Linked DNA regions of Astyanax mexicanus. The protein of the gene in region 1 interacts with the protein of each later gene in a pairwise test. Links are inferred from orthologs where the notes say so. Each region holds a gene or a part of one and is shown in the gene's direction. Other genes may lie near its edges.

Evidence for each region.
Region 2: the proteins of ift20 (region 1) and exoc7 interact in binary tests that used the Homo sapiens proteins (3 or more experiments, as listed by UniProt). The two-hybrid records come from large-scale screens. The link is inferred for Astyanax mexicanus from reciprocal best matches to the Homo sapiens genes IFT20 and EXOC7.

The regions. Positions count from the first base shown.
Region 1 is NC_064425.1:16,836,143-16,844,136, reverse strand, and holds the start of ift20 (intraflagellar transport protein 20 homolog), read left to right. Parts: upstream 1-4,932; 5' UTR 4,933-5,062; intron 5,063-7,079; 5' UTR 7,080-7,113; coding exon 7,114-7,240; intron 7,241-7,819; coding exon 7,820-7,905; intron 7,906-7,981; coding exon 7,982-7,994. Other genes in the region: cell cycle checkpoint protein RAD1, read right to left, coding at 568-745, 940-1,038, 1,968-2,226, 2,386-2,494, 2,591-2,785. UniProt on the Homo sapiens protein: Part of intraflagellar transport (IFT) particles involved in ciliary process assembly. May play a role in the trafficking of ciliary membrane proteins from the Golgi complex to the cilium.
Region 2 is NC_064422.1:17,965,713-17,973,259, reverse strand, and holds the start of exoc7 (exocyst complex component 7), read left to right. Parts: upstream 1-4,507; 5' UTR 4,508-4,800; coding exon 4,801-4,860; intron 4,861-6,508; coding exon 6,509-6,574; intron 6,575-7,520; coding exon 7,521-7,547. Other genes in the region: tvp23b (Golgi apparatus membrane protein TVP23 homolog B), read left to right, coding at 1-122, 1,549-1,575. UniProt on the Homo sapiens protein: Component of the exocyst complex involved in the docking of exocytic vesicles with fusion sites on the plasma membrane.

The DNA.
Region 1 (7,994 bases):
TATACCAAAAGGGTCTCCTAAGGGTTTAAATGTAAATGTCACATTTGTCAAAAACAAAATGTGTCAACTCAGCTGCTGCTGCTGTTGTTGTTGTTGTTCTGTTGTTGTCCTTTTAACCTTTCAAAACAACTTCCACTTTTCTGTTCTGTTTGGTTTTAACAAGTCTTAGTTTTATATTTAAGGTCCCCTAAGGGTCAAGTCTCTGTTGTATTAGCTGGCAGGTTAATCTACCAAACCTACCAAAAAACTACCAAAAATAAACAACTCTAGAGCAACAACTGGAGATTTCAAACTCCTTTAATGGTATATCACACAGTAATGTATGTGTCATATCAGATCATCTTCATGTTAACAACTTTAAAGAAACTGATAAAAAGATTTATAAAGTTCAAAATCTTATTATATAACAAATACAAGCTCTGTTACTTTATCTCTTTTTTAGAAACTGAATTTAATAAAATACAATGAACAAATCAGATCACTAATCTGATTAAACGACACAGTTTAACATGAAAAGGGAAACAATTAACAGCACGTTTTAAGATGAGCAAAATAACTCATGTTGGTCTATTCTTCATCAGCCTCTTCGTCTGGGCAGCAGTAATACTCAACAAAACAAATCTGTCCATCATCATTCCGCACAAGGTACTGTAATGAGAGGAAGCCTCGACTGTCTGTCCTTACAGACACCTTACAGGACAGCGCCAACGCCTTGGTGGAGGGTTTTAATAGAGACATCTTGTACCTGAGTGAGCAACAGCAAAACACAAACTGATATTATCCGGCGTCAATGCCAAAAGTCATAGGACAGGAACTAAAATTGTGTCACATGAATTTTGTCTATATTCACATTGTCTGTAATGTCTGTGAACAAATCTGATTTGATCATTTTAATTTGGAAATTAACCTTCTAGTCATTACAAAGTTTGGTCTTCTTACCTGTTGGTTTGTGTCTTTGTACACTGGAACAGCTCCATCATTTCAGAGTCTTTGGGATAGTCGTAATGGGCATTTCCAGAATTTCCAAATGTGGACAATCTGGGGGGAAAACAATCAAATTAATTATTTATATTGTTTGATATTAGTAATATAATATGGTATTGAGTTTTAGGCAGTGTTTTAAATGTGATAAAGCTTTGGAAAACAACTAGTTAAACAGGGCTAATTATTATACATACAACATAAAAAAACATAATGCAACATGAAAAAAACATAATTTTTATTATTTTATCTTTTTTTTATGTGCCCATACTTACTTTTAAAGGGCCCAAAATATTCCATGATGTAAACATGTTTATTAGATAACAGGCTAGTTTTTATCCAGATGCACAAATCTAACCTAATGAGATTGTCAACAAAATCAATAATAGGTCAATAATAGGGGTGGGAATCTCTAGGCACCTTACGATTTGAATACAATTCAGAGGTCTGCGATTAGATTATAAAACGTTTCTCGATTCGTCTTGATGCATCTATTTCTTTTATACAGGATTTATTTGTTCTCATTGTATGAATATTAATGAAGTAGAGCATCTGTAATGATCCATAATATATCCTTAAAAAAGCATAGTTTTTTTTAATTAACCAGATGATTAGTACAAAAAAGTGCCTTCAGCATAGTGACGGTGTATCGACAGTTTGGAGGAAAGTAGCGGATGGCTTGATAGGTAGCTTGCTGGATTAATGATCGTAGTAAAAAAAACCCAGCTTGACAGCGTGAGCGGCAGAAAACAGACTCACACAGGGAAGGAGAACATCAGGGAAATGCGAGATCAAATGTTATGCGTATTTTAGAACATGCATGCAAAATTCGTACATGTTGGCAAGTCTAAATCGATTTTTAGCATTTATGAATCGATACAGAATCGCCCACGTCCGAATCGAGCTGAATGTATGTAAGACACAAAAATGTCCCCCACTCTTGGTCAATATCATTGCCAATAAGACAAGGCATAGTGTTTCTGTACCTGAAATAGGGGTGACTGGGTGACATTGTTAGCTGCAGGATCTCACTGGTCATGTCCAGTTCTGAGAAAGCCTCTTTCAGGCTGTCTGACTGAAGTATGACCTTGTTGGTCACATTGGTGCTACAGAAGTCAAAGTCTAAGGGTTCCTCTGGTTCTTGGGTGTTAATCTTGCAAACAGTAACCACTCCTCCTTCCTCCAGGAACAGGGTCAATGGATAGCCATAACCATTGTAGCACATTTTCAGGGCAGTCATCACTCCTTCATTTTTTTAAAGAGAGAGAATGTATGATCCATCAAGATAAAATCATAAACAGTTTAATTACAATATGTTTTTAATGTTGTTTTAGCTCAATCAGTGATGCAACTACACTAACAGTGCATTATTATATCTAATCATTATTTATCATAGAAACGTGCCTGGCACTGTGCTTCCTCCAAAGATGGTGAGACAATCCAGAAGCACAGTTAGGTTAACCTGAAACCCAACCACATCCTCTTTAAGTGTGAACTCTTGAAAAATGTCTGCCTGCAGGATGAGAAAACCACACAATCAATTACAGTCAAAATGCATTTAAAACTGAGTGTTTTTGAGAATTCTTAATGTCTCATTCTGAACACTGACCTGAATGAACGCATTTGCTTGAAGACATTTGGAGTCTTCTACGGTTACTTTTAACCCATTCTGCGTCGCATTGAATATTGCATGGTCTTTGAAGGATATTGCTTTTAAGATGTTAGAAAGGTTTCTCACATTATCCAAACTAGCTATCAGGATGTACTCATCATTCTCTGGTTGAGACTGAGTTGACAAAGGCATTCTTCTGATCACAGAAAACACCTGCAATGACATTATAGAAGATAGTTAAAACTGAGACTCTGTAGTCCAGGGTCCATATTTATGTCCATAGTATATTTTACCATATAATAGCATATTTTTGGTAAATCAAATAGGACCATAAAACATGGCTGTTGAAATTTATATAAATATGCTTAAAGACTGAATTGTTTTCCTGGCACTAAATGTAGGGGTTGAGGTTAGAGCTGTACAATATTAACAAATGCCCTATTGATATAAATAGATTATTTATTAATAGATAATTAATACAAAAAAATAATATTGCAGTTTTTAACACAGACATACTGCTCCACCCCACTGGGCTGTCGAACACATAAAGCATTAATATTAGCTTGTTAGCTACCTACTTCTACTCATATAAAAAAAAAAAACTAAAAGCAAAGCAGTAGCAAGCTAAACATTTTTGTTAATTGTTATTTAACTTCTAATGTTAGCTAGACATTTGTTAAACATTAAACAGCAACACTAAAGTGATCTCAGGAAACTTTTAAAACAGTTTGAGCAGCCTGTCAAAAATGGCCAAAAACCCAAAGGAAATTGTGATTAACTCAGGATGCATGAAAACTGTGATTAAAAAACAGCGTTATTCCACCAAATATCTGCATCAACTGTGTGTGTGTGCCGAAATAATAACCAGTTTTAGATCTTACCTCAGTGTGTATTAAACTACATGTAGTTTCAGTAAGAGGGCTGATTTGTGGCGCTGAATGTTTTGCTCGTGTTCTTCTTCTCCGTTTTTTCTCAGCAGCTCCACTGCCCCCTGCAGTGTTGGAGATACCGGGAGGCTTTTCATAATAAAAGTCCTACTAAAACTTTTAATGGATTTGATATGATTCCCAAAGAATACGTATAAAGGCCTTGAATAAATCTGTATAAATACTATTAAGTCTATAAATACTTTTTTGGGACGTTTTTGAATGTCCAGGAACACAGCACTGTGTGAATGCTGTGGGCAATGTAAAATAGGGAACATATATTATGGGATATTGGTGTTACAGACATTTAATAGAGTTATAGTACAAAATAAAGTGTTATATACATTATAGGAACACATTTTTTAAACGCGTAAATCTATTGTTTTGTTTTGGCCCCCGGTTTAACGGGGCAGTGCACTGATCCGCCGGTCGCCGTGGCAGCGGCAGAGACTCTTCGGGGCGGGGACGGAATCTCATCATCTGGAGCAGAGCCGGTTTACGGAGAGCCTGCCCACTTCTAATTATATCAGAAAATAAGTGCAAATCGTTAGAGGGAGCCCGCGAGGGAGTCCAAAATGAATGGGGGTGAATGGAGCTAAACAGCTAAAAACTCAAATTAAAATGATTAATTAACTACGTGTCCCGGATATTACATTAACGTAAAAAGTAAATTGACTAATTGAATAAATTTGTTAATCAAGCAAATAAACGTACCCGTATTTTCTACGTTATTACAACAAATATTTTTGGACAACAAATTGCATGCATCAATGTAATGCTGATCACTTTATGATTGTTTAAGGCTAAATAATAAAAAAAAATAAAGAATTGGGCGTTACTTTTCATTATTTCATTTTTTTCCATCTGGTTTAATAAAAAGAAATGGGTTTAATAAAAAGAAATCTTAAATTTAGGGAAAATGAAAAAATAAACCTTTACTCAATTCTTTAATTTTTCATCTAGTATTATAAGGTTGGATTTTACCTTTTTTTTTTTTTTTTTTTTTTTTACCTTTTTTTGGATTTAAAATTTTGTAAAGGTCCATTTCTTTTTTTTGTTGTGAAATTTTAGATTATGGAAGGCCGAAATGTAAAACGAAAATGGCCTTTACTATAGCATGTGGGGGGAAATTGTATTTAGCCTTAAATGGTCTGAAAATTACGGGTAAACATTGCACTGTTCTAGTTACAGTGAGATGACTGTTTAGCAAGCTTATGCGGTAACAAAGACGTCCATAACACATTTAAAAGGTTTGTAACTGGCAATAAAGGGCGTTAAACATTATTTAAATATGGTTCTGTATTGAGGAAATTAACATATTTTTAGTATGATTTTTATTAGACATATTAAACATAAACTATGATTTTGAGCGCCCTCTGGTGCTGTGATGAACCCGGAACACGTTCTGTAGTGGGAATTCTCCTCAGTAGAGAATCTCTGATCTGGAGAGTCTTTCTGCCACATAACCGAGAGAAGCGGCGAGCGGAGAAAACGGCGAAGAGACCGGCGAGATCAGCATATCTCCATTAATTCAGCTTAGCGGGTATGTGTGGAGATTCCTTCACTTTCTATAGTAAATAAAGCGGTTTATAATGTTAAATACAGTGTGTTTTTTGTGGTGGGTTTACTCGATAGCTGCGTTGCTAACCCCGCTAGCTGATTGTTGTGATTAGCTGAGTTGTTGTGTTGTGAGAGAAGCTCTGTAAACTGATGTTAAACTCGGCGGATCAGAGAGCAGAGCTAAGAAACTGCAGCTTTACAGGCTGTCAGTTTAGTCAGTTCCGTTTAGATACTCTGTTTTAATGTGATCAGGAATCCTCACTATACCAACACCAGTTGATCAGCAGCCATATGTCACCCAGCTGCTCAGATAACCTACAAATAGTCTAAGATAGGTGGTAGATAATACCCTGATATACAGCTCTGGAAAAAAATAAGAGACTACTTTAATTTCTGAATTAGTTTCTTTGATGTTGCTATTTATCGGTAAATGTTTGAGTAAAATGAACATTGTTGTTTTATTCTATAAACTACAGACAACATTTCTCCAAAATTCCAGATAACAATATTGGCATTTAGAAAATTTATTTGCAGAAAATGAGAAATGACTGAATTAACAAAAAAGATGCAGAGCTTTTAGACCTCAAATAATTTAAAGAAAACCTCCACCATTCTTACACACTGCTTTTGGATAACTTTGTCACTCCTGGTGCAAACATTCAAGCAGTTCAGTTTGGTTTGATGGTTTGTGTTCATCCATCTTCCTCTTGATTATATTCCAGAAGTTTTAATTTTTTTAAAATCAATCAAAGAAAATAATTTTTAAGTGGTCAATTATTTTTTTCCAGAGCTGTATTATTTAATTTTAGGGCCATATGGGCATTATGGTACAATTTTGTGATTTTTTCAGTAAAAGGAAAATTCCCATAGGTCTTATTTCCCAATAAAGTCTATTAGAGACAGATTATATCTGTCCAATATTATTTATTTTACTAGATATATGAAGATATTTGGAGTGCATTATTAGTATTATGACATGTTGCATCATTGACTTCTATTACAGTCTGGTAAAAATGCCAATTAGGGGTGCACCATATCATATGGTATACAATTATATTGGCAAATACATTTTAATATTAATTTTCTTGCAGTAGTGTATTCTTAAATTTATTATTTTATTTATTGTTTTGTCATATCCCCAAAAATAATGTTATCCTGAAATATCCTGATATAATTTTAGGCTCATATTGCCCACCCCTAGTATAAGATGACACCAGATTTTACTAACTCATACAGAATCTACTTATTTCAGATGTCACCTATGAAATGTTTACTAGTAATAATATCAGATCTACAGATCAATAGATCTATAAAGCTTTTCTGACCTGTCATGTGTTACTATTGATTTACAATATTCATTTACAATGACCTTTACTATCTCTTATCTATAATTAAAATGTTACTAGTACACTGAAGTACTAGTATTTCAGTGTATACATGCCTATAATTGTCACAGTTATTAGTAACAGAAAAATGATTACTAATAAAAATATATTTTATTATATTCATTATATTATTGGTAGTCAGAACTTGAATTGTATATTTATTTACTGTCAGCTTATCTACAAAAATATTGGTCACTGCCTATCATAAGAGATGGGTAACCATGCTTTATCTAATCTGTTTTTAGGTCTATAATTTTTATTATTGTTATGTTCTCTTTTGTTCTCTTTCCTGACAATTCTGTCTGTCCCTTGCATTGCTGTAACATTGTGAATTAACCTGCTGTGGGATTAATAAAGGCTTTTCGTATAATACTTTATGTTATAGAGATTTAAACCTGCCCATAACATTAGTTACTAATCAGATCAAATGTCTCTAAGTGTTATTTATTTTTTAACTTTTTTACTTTTCTCTACTGTAGTTGATCTGTACCATATGTCTCATTAAGTCCTGTTTTAATCATCAGTTTAAACCTTAAAGAAAAGAAAAGTTTACATTTATTCTCACAACTGACTCACAGTTTAAAAAGACTGTAATCTTCTGTTGCTTCTCAACAGTTGGACCTAATCAGTGATTGGCTGGCCTCAGGTCATGGCTAAAGATCCACTGGCAGAAGCTGGGCTTCACTTCGATGAACTTAATAAGCTACGAATACTTGAACCTGATGTTGGTCAGAAGACCACAGAGCTTAAAGAGGAGTGCAAAGAATTTGTTGACAGTAAGTATGGCTGTATTATAATTTATTTCCAGACTTTTAACACTTTTATTATCATGTTAATAAGGGCCAAAATGTACACAATCAAATTTATCACAATGTATTAATTAATTTAGATCAGTTCAGTAGAAAAACTGCCAAGAATGTCCACAACGGTACCCAAAAACAATTATGATTGTTGAAATCAACAAGTGTTTAAACATCATATCACCATTATTGAAACATTCTGATATATACTCAATTTGAATTACTGTCCATCCCATGTAAAATAACCTGTTAAATACTTTAAAGTCTGAACACAGAACACTGATGGAAATGAATTACCATGAGACAGAACCAAGTGGCTTTAAAGACTTTTTGCAAACTTTTTACAAATTTAATAAAAACTTACAGTCTTTAAAAATGCATCTATATTTTTCATATATTAAATCAATTAAGTAGACAAACATTTAACATTGTTGCCCTGATGTTGAAAGGTTTGGTGTTTGCACTGGGTAACTGCATGTGCACTTTCTTACTCTCCACCACTTGTCAGATAACAGCTTTAATTAAACTGATTTCATTTCATTTCTTGGAAAACAGAAATTGGCCAGTTTCAGAAAATAGTGGGTGGACTCATTGAGATGGTGGATGAACTGGCCAAGGAAGCAGAAAAAGAAAAAATGAAGGTACGTATGTGCCATTAAGATGACAGTTTAATGATAACTTGCAGACAGCTAAATAATTTCAACAACTGTTTCACAGGCAATAGGAGCTA
Region 2 (7,547 bases), on another chromosome or scaffold:
TAATTATGGGCGTGGTTCTGCAGGGAGCGAATCTTTATGGATATGTTCGCTGTAAAGTCGGCACCAGAACGAATCTGAAGAACATGGCCACCAACTACTTTGGAACACAGTTCCTCAAACAGGTGGGTCTCAGAAACGAATGAGGGGGTTATTAGGACCAATCACGGTGAGGAGGAGGTTTTAGAACAGATAAGTAGGGGATTAGCAAGTCCAAAAACATGCAAGAAGGTTATTAGGAGCAAACAAGAGCAAACAAGCCTGTGTTTATTATTAATTACTCAAGGGGATATCTTGGAAAACAAGATATGGGTGGGTGGGTGGGTAAAGTGCTGTCGTTTATTTACAGTAAACTTATATTTCCAATATTTTACTGCGGTTAGCAGCAGCACTAGACGCAGGTAGCAGCACAAAGCCCTAGTAAATGCCGCCCGATAGCGCCACACTGAGGAACCTTGGGTGTTCTGGTAAGCCAGGGTGCTATTATACAGCAGTTTTAATGCAGTAAACACGCAGACTACAGGTCGATATTCTCATATTTAAAATGGTGAAAGAGCTAGCGCTGCGGTTAGTGGATAATGCTAATACTGCTCCAGCCTCTGTGTAACACTGCACTTCAGTGGAGTGGCTTTTACTGCTTCTTACATCCTGATTGGTAAAATTAATACATAAGGTGCACCAGATTTTAAGGTGCATAGTTGATTTTTGGGAAATTAAAGGATTTTAAGTGCACATTATAGTGCAGAAAAAACAGTATATACATGCATATGATATATCGCTGCTGTCCTGTGAAAAACACTTATCTCCATTTTTGTCGATTTTTAGTTTACTACATTATTTGAACAGACAAGCTGTCCCTTACACTGTGCCAAAATTTCTTGATGAACGGACCAACAGAAACTCTTTAAAATGACCTGAAACAAACTCTTTTTACCTTGACTTCCATTTAAAGTTTACAAGTTTTTTTCTCTCCTGTAAAGTTGCTGTTTTGGACATAAGTGTTTTTGATTGGACAGCGACGATATGCATAATACTTTATTGTTACCTTGATCAAACACAAATCAGCAACAACATTAAAATCAGCTCCATAAATACATACATTACACTGGTCAACTATGACATTATTATTACCTTCATGTTTGATAGGTCAAAGAGCCTGTTAAATAACCAAATGGAATTCCACGCCTAATAAATCTTAATGACAAGAATGACTTTTCAATTATTAATTGAATAAATATTTTAAATTGTAGTTTTGTAATTGTTTTATTTAAAGCAAGACAAAATACGTTTAACAAAATGATTGATTTGGGATTTGGCCAAATTTTTATTTTTGGCATATTTTTATTAATATGAACCATGTGGTCAGAAAATACAAAAAGCTAATGAAGAGATTTTTGGGACAAATCATAATCAAGGGAATGTCTTTTGGAAAAGCAACTGAGGTTATTAATACAGAGTCTACTGATAGTGATCATATTCCAGTGTCATTCATTTTCTTGCTTGTTAATATGCACTAATTTATATTTCTGCTGTTTATGTTTATTACTGAAGGCTCTGAGTAAACAGGAGGAGTCGTGAGAGGGAGGAGGAGGAGTCTGCACTGTCACTCCAGCTGTTTAAAAGGAGGAGGAGTTAAAGGACTTCCTGAAGCGAACATTAGTGTGTAGCTGACTCCGCTCTGCAGATGCTGCAGTATTTCAAACACACCTGTTCTAGTTTTGGTTAACGTTATGGTTTGAGTTTTCTTTAACTTATTAACATTTAATTTATATGCTGTGGGATATTAACATATATTGGACCTATAAAATGGTAATGTTACTTAACAGAACCCTTCAGAAGTTTGGGGATGTCCTGTCTCCTATTCTTTAATGTTCACTGTTACTTAGTTAAGTAAGAAAATATATATCACAGAATAGAGGGACTTGCAAATCTGTTCAACCCGTTTAAAAAGTGTTTAGCACAATTTTTTTTCCTGGAAAATATATTACTTAAAACTGAAATTTTATCCTGGCAGTGTTACATGCAGATTTTTTTTTCATTTTAAAACAAATTAAAACAATTAAAACAAAATGTTTTAACTTTATTAATTTAGAAATTAAATGTAGTATTTTACAGAGTACCCTGTTGTCATCTACAGGCCTTTCACTCTGTATAAAAAAAATGAGAAAATATATGGAAAAATTAATTGTCAACAAAATGTATAGAATAATCAAATAACTACATAAGAAAAAATAATAACTACATAAGAAAAATCTATAAAAGCAGCAAAAGTAATTTTATTTTACTAACTACACAATTTGCAGATACTGAATCATTGTTTATTATTTCATTTTGTGTTAGTTCATTATTCTGAGATTATACGTTTTTATTTTTAAATTTGAGTGCATCATTCATAATCATATCAGTGACAATAATTTTGTTTGTCGCAGTTATTTTTCTGACAGTATATATTCTAAAACTAAATCGTTTTTCTGACAGACCAACATGTGTACACAGCATGATTTTTTTTTTTTTTTTTTTTTTTTTTGTAAAATGTAACACAAATATACAAATATGACTAATTTAGTGATTTTTAAGGGGGTTGAATAGTTTTTGCAAGATAGTGTATGTTACTTTTAAACCTGTTTTTTTTTATTATTATTTACTGGGACTAAAAATAGAGGTGTGCCATATGGCAAAAGTGTTCATTCACAATATTGAGTGATTTTCACTAATATTTGTGAAGATATTTTGACTGAAACTGCTACTCTCACATAATGAGTACAGATATATTTATTATTAATCATTATTAATTATTATAAGTCTTCTTAAAGCACTGATGATATCCATAATATGCTCAGTATAAAGTATGCTGTGAACCACAATAACAAAATGAATAATAATATGATAAATTATTGCCATATAGCCCACCTCTAACTACGAATGTCTTTATACTTTCCTCTGATGTTTTGCTTTGATGTGTAAAACATGTACATACCTGTGTAAATGAATTAATGTAAAATACCTTTTGACACTCTGGAACTATGAATAGAACATTTTTCAGAGCATTTCTGTAGAGATGTTAGAATGTTTATCATATCTATAAGAGAGGTTGTTAGATCAGTCAGTATGAGTTAGTATGAGTTCTGTATTTGTGGAATGTGATGAGATGTGATGAAATGTTTCTTGAAGTGAACTGGATTAAATAGATTTGTCTACATTTCAGTGCATTCTTTCAGTTCAGTTTATTCTTTATTGTTTGGGAGAATCATTCTAATGTATAAGTAATTTATATTTATATTTTAAAAGTTTAAAAGTGATTACTTTTGGAATATACTATTTAAATTAAAATAAGGTAAAAGCACTGAACTTTACGAAGAGCTTAATTATTAATAAACACCTTTCTGTCTAGAATAAGTTAATAATTAAAATTTTTATTATGTATAAATCTCACTTACGATTGCTTTAGCACTGTTACAGTTTTTTTTTTTTTAAGAAATACCAGTTTTCCTAGAATAAAAACGAATTTTATTATTCCTGAAGTATTGTAGTATTTATGTAGAGAAACATTAGAGACCAAGCCAATAATATTTGTTTGTGGAAATCTGAAAGTTCATATTTGTTACATCATAGCTTATGCAGAGCAACGTCAAAGCAGGTGTTCTGTCGAGTTGTGCTACCCATCGATGCGTGCTTTCTGAAGACACTGCGCATGCGATAACCTACGATTTTTCTATATTCCTTTTTTTTTATGAATTTATTTTATTTATTTATTAAATGTGTTTTTGTGTGTGGATTAAACAACCTGGACTCACTGTCATTGCACAAAAGTGTAAATGGAAATTAATAATAATAAAAAAAATACACAAAATATTTTATAAAACAACACAAAGCATTTTATAATGATCTCTTATTGACATTAATTGGCCATAATATTGTGGCGTGGAAGGGGAAAGAAGACCCGTGAGACTCATGCTGAATGTTCAACAGCTCCTTTTATTGAACTGGCTTATCACTCACTCACAGTCTTTAACAAGACTAGGAGAGCTAAACCATAAAACCACAGAGCTAAATAGCCCAAAGGCCACCAACCCAGCTGTGTGTCTCCCAGATGGCAGATCCAGAGTGGTGCCCACCCTCTCTGCATAACCCCTCCCAAGGGAGATGCCCCACCCCTGTCATCCTCGCACACAGGAGAACAGAAACATGCCTGCAGGCAGCCACACACACAACCCAGAGCCGCCACAATATAGTGATTTATGCTATTCAAATATACTAACGTACATCTACTGGGCCTTCTACTGGGAACATGCTGTAATACGGTGCTTTTTTGTTTTTGTAAAGTTAGGTTTAATATGCACTACACTAGTGTAGAACGGGTTGACAAGGCAGCGCAACTGAATAGAATAACTGGCGATGAGGGAGGACTTTTATGTTGAAGTGTCGAAGCGTTTGTCAGTATATTGAACTGGTGTGATAATAGTCAGCTGATTTCCGTTCCGTTTCCGTTCTTCTACCCTTTTAAACTACAGATTCTGATTCTTACTCATACTGTTTTGTGTCCAGTTGGGGTTAAATTAAAACGTGGGATCTTTTTGTAATATTAATGTTAATTTTGTCGTTGTAAAACGTTATTTTTTTTATCTAAGGCTTTTATTTTGTAATATAGTGGATAGTGACTCCCCGGTCGTTAGTTTGTGCGGAGCTCGGTGTTGAGTGTTGTTACTCAGGGCGGAATGGTGATATAAAGCTGTATGTGATCAGTTTAACCTGAGTAATTTCGGATTATTAATATTAAACTATACTGTGTGAGAGTGGGTGGAGATGATCCCGACGGAGGACGCGTCCGCGCGGAAGCGGGAGATCGAGGAGAAGCTGAAGCAGGTCGGGCTGCGGTTCAATAGCCTTAATTAACGTTACATCCTTTATTTACACACTGTTAACACTGACACGCTGTAAACACACTCTACAGCATTAATACACACATGTATGTTAACAGTTAACGGTTTATTCTGAGGGGCTGTAGGGTCTTAGTGTGGTGGTCTTCTCTACAGTGCAGAGCTGCTGTGATAAATCTAGCTTTAGCTAATCTAAATACAGGCCATTCACTCACTATGCTTTAACCCAAAGAGCCCATGATGACAGTGTGTGTATTACAGACCCTTAAAATATATGTTAAATTCCTCACAGCACTCTGTCTTTCACTTTAACTCCTGATATCCCCAATTCACATCTGAGAGTATCACAGCACAGTGTGTGAATGTGTGTTTTATCCTTTTGTTTCCTTTATAAATCTAAATATAACTGGTTGTTTGGATCAGCAATTTCAGTTAAGTATATCATATAGCAGATGAACACAGTGATATTTGAGAAGTGAAATGAAGTTTATAGGATTTACAGAAAGTGTGCAATCATTTTTTAACAAAATTAGACAGGTGCAAAAATGTGGGCACATAAAATTACATCATTATTTATTAGATCATCCTTTTGCAGAAATAACAGCCTCTAAACTCTCCTATAGCTTCCAATAATAGTCTGGCTTCTGGTTGAAGGTATTTTGGATCATTCTTCTTTACAAAACATCTTCAGTTAAGTCAGATTTGATAGTGTTTGAGCATGAACAGCAGCCCACTTTAAATCATGCCACAGACTTTCAACATTATTCTCAAGAATCTACTGATATTGAATCTATGATACCCTCAGCTTTAAAAATATTCCCAGTACCTGCACTGAACACACAGCCCCACAGCATGATGGAACCACCACCACATTTTATGCTTTTTCCTCCATGCATACCGACCGCCCTCCAAATAACTCAATTTTAGTTTCATCAGTCCACAGCACCTTATACTAAAATGTGTCCAAATGTGCCTTAGCATACCTCAAGCGACTCTGTTTGTGGCGTGTGCACAGAAAAGGCCATTAAAAGTGTACTTTTGGCTATTTCAACAATTCAGATGTTTAGTCTTCCATATAACTACATTACATTACTTTACATTACATTACATTTAGCAGACACTTTTGTCCAAAGTGACTTACAATAGTAATGTACATAGAGGAATAGAAGTTTAATGTTAAAATACATTTTTAGACAGGGCTTAAAGGAGGTCAAATGGAAATAATGGGAATCTCTGAATAGTTCTGACGTGATTTTTAGACCAAAAGGTTATGGGCTTGATTATGGTTGTTATCATTTCTGTTTCATCTGGATTTTAGCCTTTTAAATATTTATACATATGTGCCGTCTTTAAAACAATAAGAAAAAAAGTTACTGCTCAGTATTCAGTCCTGTTCTGATTGTAAAAAGGTAAAGTTTTCTGTTGTTAAAGCTTTATAAATATATGATGGGTTATTTTCTCAAAATTTAACTATAATCTCTGTATCGTGGTGTCCAGTAGAATTGTACATGTGGTCATTTTGCTCCTGCAGTTTATGCTAAATCCAGTGTATCTGGTGTTTATTGAAGATAAATTTAGAATGGTTTGTTGATTTGTGTGTGTGTGTGTGTGTGTGTGTGTGTGCTGAACTGCAGGAGCAGGAAACTCTGTCCTTCATTCGGGAGAATCTGGAAAAGAGTGACCAGCTCACTAAAGGCATGGTAAGAGATTCAGAAACAGTGTGTGTGTATTTATGTCTTGTAGCTACATTATCTTTTGCATTTTGTGCTTAATAACGTATTTGGACACCTCAACATTCTTTCTGCTTTTATGTTGTCCCATTCTAAACCCATCCAATCCCATTTCACCCCTTGGCCCTACCATTTACTCCTACCCCTTCTTTTCGAGTGAAATCCTCCCCCTAAGAATTGGGACAACCCTACAAGCACCCTATATGTCATCAGAAGGACAGCACAAGTGACTTTTATATAAATATTCTGCTCTGAAATAAACCAATTTCTTATAGTTATTAGGGTGACAAACTGAATAATACAAAAAAACAGTATTCTAAATTTGTTGGGCAAGACAGGAAAGGTGAATATAAAGGTGAACAATAGCCTATAAAGGTGAAGATAGCCTCCATAATATACCAAAATTTGCATATCAAACTGGTCCCCAACACTAGTCCTGAAGCTGCTAATGTGTTACTGTTATAACCATTAAACCACTAAATGTGGAAGAATGTGGTTCCTGAGTGATTGAGTTGGGAACCACTGGTATATCACAATGATGTTTGTCAATGAACAATAAATAAATAACAATAAATTAATTAATAACACTGCTTAATTACCAGGATATTAGGTGAGCCTGCAGGCTGATGTGATAGCAGTGGAGCGCTAAAGTTCCGTAACCTAGCTGCTGGTTAACTAGTTAACTTTAGGGCATTGTATGTATTTAGAAAGGGTCAAGAAATTAATTATTATTGCTAATATCTTGATTCTTCTGTAATGGGGAGATGAAATTAGCTTTTATTTTATTTTATTTTTCCTTTCCGCCCTAAATGCTGCAGCTCCTGCCATCTGTTTCACTATTTAAGGTGGAACGGGAAAGTAAGCTAGAACTACTAGCAAACTTTTTTTCGACTATAGTTTTATTTCTGTCACTCAGGTGTCCATCCTGTCCTCGTTTGAGAGC